Linked DNA regions of Caenorhabditis elegans. The protein of the gene in region 1 interacts with the protein of each later gene in a pairwise test. Each region holds a gene or a part of one and is shown on either strand. Other genes may lie near its edges.

Region 1 (3,799 bases):
GTTCAACCAATTTAACTAGTTCAACTCTTGTCAAAGCCTTGACCAAAATGAACTGTCAAACACTAAAATTGAAGTCTGAAATAACATTTCAATATCACTTTGAATAATGAGATAATAACATATAAACTAGAAAGAAAAGCTAGTTAATTCTTAATTAACTTAAGAATTAATTAAGAATTAACTTTAAATTATTTTTTTCAAATAGTTAATGTTTCCAGGTGTTGCCTATCTTCTCTATGGTTTCCAATCTTGTTTCAACCTTCCCATCTTTTACTTTTTCCGTCTCGAATTCCGTCGCCGGTGCCACGAACTTCTCCGTTTCCGTCGTAACGGGACAAACACAATTGTGGTAAGATTGATGCATGTCCTTTCATTTTTCAATTATTTTCAGTTCTTCCTATTTTTCAGTCGAACGACATGAGTCGCCAGAAGCTATCACGTGTCAATGCTTCATTTGTGAACACTGCAATCTAAATGTATTTTTGGGACAATTTTCCTGAGCTATTCAATTTGTAAAATATATTCATATGTACATAGATGAATAAATAAATCCGTTGAAGATTTTCATTCTGAAATTGAATATTAAAATTAGGTATGTATTGTTTTAGGAATTAAAAAAGAGAGATCCATGGAGAAACAGGGAAGGATTAGAAGGGAAAAATGGATATGAATGTATATGTATTAGTCGTAATAAAGACGGACTCGAGACGTGCTTACAAGAAGATCTCCATCATAGAATAAAGTCTCGACGACGACGTTTCCGCTGAAAAATTGAGATTGTATTTTCAATCGTTCGAAATGTCAAGGCCTCGAACACAATTTAATGTTATTTTTATAGTAGGATTAAGTAGTTATATATAAGATGGTGTGCAGCATCTCCTGTGGTACGAAAATTACATACCATAAAGAATACTAAAACGTTTCAAAACTCAAAAAAAAAACTATCGGTAATTACTCAGTTTTCACCAGTACAAATATTGAAAGTCTGTTTTAATTTTTATAAAAAACACTGTATTGGTAAAATCCTACAGCAATGTTTGAAATTACTCAAAAACCCAATTTTTGAATTTTTGCCAATTTACCAAAACGCTGACTGATATAAAAAATGTTTGATTACGATACTCGGTCATGTTTACCTAATAACTATTAAGGTTTGCATGTTTCTGTTTCTAGTATCTTGAAGTGAAGCTTTGAAGCTTAGAAATCTAGTACTTTTGCACTTGTTTTACTTACCTGAGTACAGATGGTGGGAACATTTGTGATTCTGGAGCTGCCTCAATCATATTTTGCCACGTGTTTGTTGAATCAGGAATGACAAATCCAAAATCGAAATACCACTCTGAAGTCGGAATACATAATTAGTTTTCATCACCAGAAGCCAATATTATTCATCCATTGCGTGCAATAACATAATGAATATTCGAGTGATTCTATCTTACCTTCAATGATGGTTCCCTTCAAATAAACGCGTTGCTCGAGTCGAAATTTTTCGATTTTGACTGATGAAGTGAAGTTGATCTCACGAGACACCGTACGACATTTTAGAAGATTCTTTGGCACGTGTGCTGCAATCCATTAGTTTTTATTTGTTGGCTTCAAGCAATTCTATTTTTGTAGGAAAAACGCATTGCATTAGAGACCAGCGGTAAAAGACATGTGAAGGCTTAACTACACGCTCAGTGTTGCTTGCTAGCTGTGGCAGAATGGCGCAGTGGATGTGCGCGCGCATTGGGGGGAGACGCTCTCGCGTTCGTTCCCTCGTGTTGTCAGTGACGATATTACTTACCGCCCCAGGCATAGTGTTTGTGATGATTGGTTTATTCCGAGACTTTTTTTGAAATTCTTATTACCTTTGTGTTCCCTTTTTGGGTCAGCCATGTCTTCTGTGCTCTGCCAGAGAACTTTTCCAGTTTCTGCATCACGCAAGTTCATCCAGTTGAGCTTGAAGCCAGCCAGAATGCTCTCTGCCTTTTCGCTCAATTTAGAATCTTGATGACGAGTAGCGGTAGTGGCCATGACTGGAGCTCTACTCTCTGAAGAAAGTGATGTTTTGAGGAAATGACGACAGACCGAGGCACAAGAAAGAGGAACCGGTCATCTTAGGAACAAGGAAAAGTCAATATTGACGAAAAGTGACGATTGCCGGAAAAAGAGCATAAAAAATGAGTGTTCCCGAAGAGTGGTCATTATGAAAAAAAGAACACGTGGAGATCATTGAATTCATAAAGGAAGTCGTGTTATAAGTGGCACTTACATTTTATGAAAAAGGGAAGAGAATAAGAGAAGTAACTCGTATTCATACAATTATATATTACTGCTTATATATTTCTTTTCGTAATTCGACGGTTCTGTGGTTTGAGCAGGATGGGATTAGGTGATAATTTAGAGAAATATCATATTATTTCAATAATTCCCTAGATAAAGCTATGACTAGTAAGTCGGGCACTTATAACGCAGAAATTGCAATAGAAAATTTTCTTCAGAAAATCTACATAAATAGTCGATTGTAGTGTTTAAACAGAAAATGTATTTTTAAAAAAATATTATTTGAACTTATTTGTAATTCTGAAAATTTTGTATCGTTTAGATAACCTACAAATTGAAAGTAGGAATTGAAACAAACAGAACAAAAAAATATGTGCAAATTTTTGCATGTAATTAAAATTTCCAAACAATTTTGGTGTGTATGAAAGAAAGCAAATAAATAAATTTAAAAAGTCGACCAAAACATATTCAATTTCAAGAGGCAAGACGAGGTGAGATGATGTGATAGAAAAGGCGTGAAAAAGTTTTTACGAAATTTTAGAGGAAGCGCAGTCTCTGGCACAATGTTTTCACGGCCTTCTCGTTGCTCCCAGCTCAACCCCGACTGCGGTGGACGGAGAAAGCTCCAAATTAACCGAAAAGAGCGCGTCGTTGGGATGAGAGAAATAGAGAAATATGCGAAAGAAGTGAAGATGGCAGAAAGGAGAAAAAGAGACACAGGGAAAGGCTCTATTGAGTTGAAGAAGAAGAAGAAGAAGAAGAAGAAGGAAAATTGTGAAAAAAAAAGGAAAAAGAAGACGAAAATGACGGAAATGGAGAGAAAAAGGAAGAAGGATTTTAAGACGATCGGAGGGAAATGAGAAAAGTCTGAATGTTAAAACGGTGAGCTAGATGAGGGAACGAATGTAGGCGGAGTCATGGAGTCACTTGAATTGTTAAGTATATTCACGAGGTGGCTGATGAACAGGGTTTAAGACTTTGAGAACATTTTTGTTTGGAAAATGTGGGCATTTTATTGCAAAATCACAACAGCAGGAAAAAAGAAAATTATTTTTGATGTAAGGTGTGCCTTTTATAACCCTTGAAGTTATATACTGTTATTTACATGAACTTCCAAGTGATTCACACACACAACAAATGCAGTTACAAGTGCAGTGCATATTCAGTTTACATCGAACATTTTCTAACATTTTCTAGGTTAAAAAAAAAGAATTTGAAGTTCGAGTTCGAGCAAATCGAAAGGTTCTATGTTTCTTCTATACATATTTAAGTCTAATTTTTTAACTCCTGAAGTTTCTGCCTCGGGTTTTTGAGTTTTACCGAAAATAAGACTGTGCAATACATCGTCTGTGAAGATGGGAAAAGCTTTCAATCAAAACTACAGAAAACATTTACAAAATACAAGCTCCAAGTGACAAAACAAGCATTCAAACATTGAAAGTTGTTTGCTTAACAAAATACTTTTCAATGTTATCTTTAGATTTTTCTACCTCTCTCTTCAAAAATAGTATACTTTCAAAATACAAAGGGCAAC
Region 2 (4,070 bases), 1.5 Mb from region 1:
AAAACTTGTGACTGTGCTCCTCTCAATTGGAGCTGTTTCTCTCGGATCTTCTTCTTCTTCAACCAGCTGTACCTTTTCATGATAAATGGCCATGTCATGTGCTTCAAAGACAGAAAGAGAAAAGGAAGAATGTGTTCGATGACCGGCAAATAGAAAAGAGTGAGACGTTTGGAAGAGGGTGGCGGAAAGATGATAATAAATAGAATCAGTCATATGTTCCGAGGTTTTACTCATGGAACGGTGACTCATGTGGAATTTCTGAGCATTTTGTAGAAATTCACCGTAAGAGAAATGATAGGATTTGATTACTTAGTGTCTAGAAGTCTTGAAGAATGTTATTTTAATTTAGGCATTATTCAATCATTTCATTGAGCTCTAACAATGTGAGTTCTACAAACAAAACAAAATGAGCTGAACACTTTTTGTGCTAGGTCGGTTTACTTCCTGCTTTCTTACCGCTGTAATAACATTTTATGACCCTTCCAAACTCGTGATCGGCTTGAAATTGAGATTTTCAAAATGAAAGTTTGAAAACCAAGTAAAAAAATTCGAGGAAAAATAATTATTTATTTTAGTATTTAAATTGTAATTATTCTAGACTAGAGAGGCTTTTACAGCTGCCAAATCTCGTCTTTCCACTGCTCTCAGTAAATTGTCAGGGACATTCGATGTTCGGATTGCTGCTGATCTGAAATTTGTGAAGGTGATTTTAACATATAAAGCTATAAACTAACCTCATAGTTGTCCAAATACCAGATGCATCATTTCCTCCTTTTTGCAATTCTAATGCAGATAAAAAATGTTTCAAAGCTTCATCATAAGATGATAATTGCATACAAGATATTCCCAAATTGTATCTTGCTCTGACATATGTTGGATACAATTTCAAAGCTTCTCGATATGCTGAAATGGCTTCAGCTGTGTGGTCACCATTGGCTAACGTAGCACCAAGACGATTCCAGAGACGAGCATCAGTTGGATTTTTGGAGATCGCCAACTTGAGAGAGTCGACAGCTCTTGCAAAATTGCGATTCAAGTTGTATAAAACTCCGAGAGCATTTTGAAGATCTGGATCTGGAGTTGCTCCTTGTTGCCGAGCAGCATCCAAGAATCTAGCCTCAACTCGATTAAAAGTGTCACTGTCCAGAAATGAAGAGTAGAGTGGAGGTGTGGTTGTCACTTGAGTCGAGTTTGAACCCTTAAAATATTTATTCGTGTGGGATTATTCTTGAAATAAAAATAAGAAATACCAAGTAAGAAGACATCCATTTATCCAATTGATGTAAAGCTTCATTTTCCATTCCTTCGTTCGCTTGACTGACAGACAAACCAAGAAGTGCCTGAAATAATTTTGATTTTATTGGAAGTTTTTTTTTTTTTTTCTTAATTTCTGTTCTTAAAAAGTTTTAAGAGACAGATATGAATTTTATCGCGACCTATCTATTTTATGGCATCAAATAATCAAATATTTTTCTCAAATTTTACCTCCTTGTTTCCAGCGTCAATCTGCAAACATTTTTGGAACGCTTGCATTGCTAACTGATCTTTTTCATTTTCAGCATGAGCCAATCCTAATTTACACCAGGCACGTGCATCCTGAGGATCTTTTTGAACTGCTGCTTCATAGGCAAGCATGGCATTTCCAATATCTCCATTTCTCATTAGATTGTCTCCTTCCATCAGTGGATCTGACATGGTTGTGAAAGGGTTTGCTTCCTGAATAGGAGGGTTATAAAAATGTGTTAAAGAAGACAAAAATCTTACCTGATAAACATAGTTTTCAGGACTTTGAAGAGATTCGTCCTTTTCCATATCTCTCTTAATTTCCTCCCATCTCTGTTCAAAAGCCTGTGCATCTTTCCAAGTGTTTTCCATTCCATAATTATCTTGTTGCTCCATAAAATCATCAGCCCAGTTTTGAGTCCCAGAAGATTTGGTTAAAGAAGTATCCACAGTATCCAGATATTCAGATGACCACATACCAGCATCTGTTATTGGTTGATGTGATGACGTGGATGTCATTGATGGAGCTTGAACTTGACGCCATGCAGATTCCATGCTTGGAGCACTAGATGTGTATTGTTGACTCCATTGACTCGCTAACTGGTTCTGAAGCAATCAATTGAAAATACCAATATATGAATGCATTAGAAATACCTGTCGCGGTTGAAACTCCTTTGTCCAATTTGCTGCCAAACTTGAGGATGCTGATGCCTGTGGTAAATTATTCTGCATCGACTTCATGCTGAAACTTGTTGGAGCCATTGTTCTCGCTTGTTGTCTTAAAAATTCATTAGCCATTTGTTCTCCCATAGAAGAAGATGGGAGAAGAGAAGCTGCAGCTAAAAACTTTTTTTTTTGTTAATTTTTACTTGAATATTTCCAGCTTACCATTACTCGGAGCGACTCTTTGATTGGATGTTCCAAATGTGTTAGCTAACCCGACAAGAGCATTCTGCTGTCCACATTGTCCTTCTACAACTCCTTTCATTCTGTAAAAAATTGAAGAATTCGAGAGTTAATTGTTGAAAAAAAGTAGAATTAAAAATGAAGAAAAATACAATTTACAAGAAATATATAAAATAAAGTGTGAATTTTGATTGAAAAAGAAAATAAGTGGGCCCCAGTGTAGTCTTTTCATCAAATTGATTGATACTACATTAGGATTTAGAGTGAAGGAGACGTAGTGATAAAAAGATAGTATTGTCTTATCAAAAAGGATACAATTGATGAAATTTAGATAAGGAACAACGGAGGTCGACTATCGATTTCTGAAATAACCGGGAAACGTTTATGGATTTTTTTTCCAAGTTTTCCTAGCAAGATTGAAAACGTAATAAAATAGAATACCTTATTGTAAGTTTCCAAATTTCAATCCTTCAATTAGATATTCTAGTTGCTAGTGGAGTTATCCTAGATCGTTTTAAATTAAGCAAAATGGATATTTTGCACTTGGTTTGATTTTCAACAACACGGGTTTCTGGCTCGACCCGTCGCCCCATTGCACACTTGCACGGGGGAAAAATATTTGATTGTGCAATAATAATAATAATTTTTCGTGTGCAAAAGACAAATTTTGCTCGAATGAAGTTGTGAATTTAAAGAGAGTTCCCCCATTATTCCATAGCTAGGATTGATGTCATCTGGATCAAAATTTCAAAGATATCGAAACTGGCAGGAAAAACATTATTAACCAAAAAAATGTCAAGACAACCTTATTCGTCGACTGCATACATTCAGTTTTTTCCCCTATTTTGACATATTCTGTATACCTATAGGTTTTGTAACTATAAAACATTCCTTGAATACTTTTTTGTATAATGTCATCATTATTATATTTTCTTTTATAAACAAGGCCTATTAAAATGTCCAATAAAACTACGAAGATATACACAAAAGGTGTGATTTTATAATGTATTCCCTATAATTTAAACGAAACGAAACGAAAACGGGCGGCCCCTTGTACTGACAATTGACGGCATAAATATGAAACACGAAATGGTCTTTACATTCTTACTGATGATGGTTAGACCAGAAGCTTCAACCTCCAGAATTCCACGTAGAAGAACCACATTTACAGTGGAACAACTATATTTACTCGAAATGTATTTTGCACAAAGTCAGTATGTTGGATGTGATGAAAGGGAAAGATTGGCAAGGATTTTGAGTCTAGATGAATATCAGGTTTCTATTGTTTTTAGAAATCTATTCTCTATTAAAATTGTTTGCGAAATTTATCCACCAGGCTGAGCTCCAGCAACTTCTACGTTAAGTCTAACATATCCGATTGTATGTTGTAAAGATGTGATTAGATCAATCTAGGAAAAAAATAAAAAATTTTTAAATCAGTTGTTATCATTCAATAATTTTCCGAGACGTAGCACATTACAGGTGAAGATTTGGTTCCAAAATCGTCGAATCCGGATGAGAAGAGAAGCCAATAAATAATAGTCAAATATTTATTTAATTTCATTTCACTGAAATAAATTTTGTAGTTAGAACCACTATTTCCAACATTGAAAACATCGCTTTACGGTTTTGAAAACTCCTCGAGAGCAAATTCCTGATCA

The links.
Region 2: the proteins of pdl-1 (region 1) and prx-5 interact in a two-hybrid assay, tested with the Caenorhabditis elegans proteins (one large-scale study listed by BioGRID).

The regions. Positions count from the first base shown.
Region 1 is NC_003280.10:7,182,042-7,185,840, reverse strand, and holds pdl-1 (Phosphodiesterase delta-like protein), read right to left. Parts: upstream 2,041-3,799; 5' UTR 2,017-2,040; coding exon 1,851-2,016; intron 1,832-1,850; exon of another isoform or gene 1,763-1,831; intron 1,566-1,762; coding exon 1,440-1,565; intron 1,423-1,439; exon of another isoform or gene 1,349-1,422; intron 1,340-1,348; coding exon 1,234-1,339; intron 764-1,233; coding exon 682-763; 3' UTR 547-681; downstream 1-546. Other genes in the region: C27H5.6 (G_PROTEIN_RECEP_F1_2 domain-containing protein), read left to right, coding at 219-349, 409-474.
Region 2 is NC_003280.10:8,703,246-8,707,315, reverse strand, and holds prx-5 (TPR_REGION domain-containing protein), read right to left. Parts: upstream 2,493-4,070; 5' UTR 2,492-2,492; coding exon 2,392-2,491; intron 2,343-2,391; coding exon 2,158-2,342; intron 2,110-2,157; coding exon 1,765-2,109; intron 1,717-1,764; coding exon 1,486-1,716; intron 1,341-1,485; coding exon 1,251-1,340; intron 1,199-1,250; coding exon 735-1,198; intron 689-734; coding exon 595-688; 3' UTR 556-594; downstream 1-555. Other genes in the region: Homeobox protein ceh-7, read left to right, coding at 3,487-3,684, 3,892-3,948.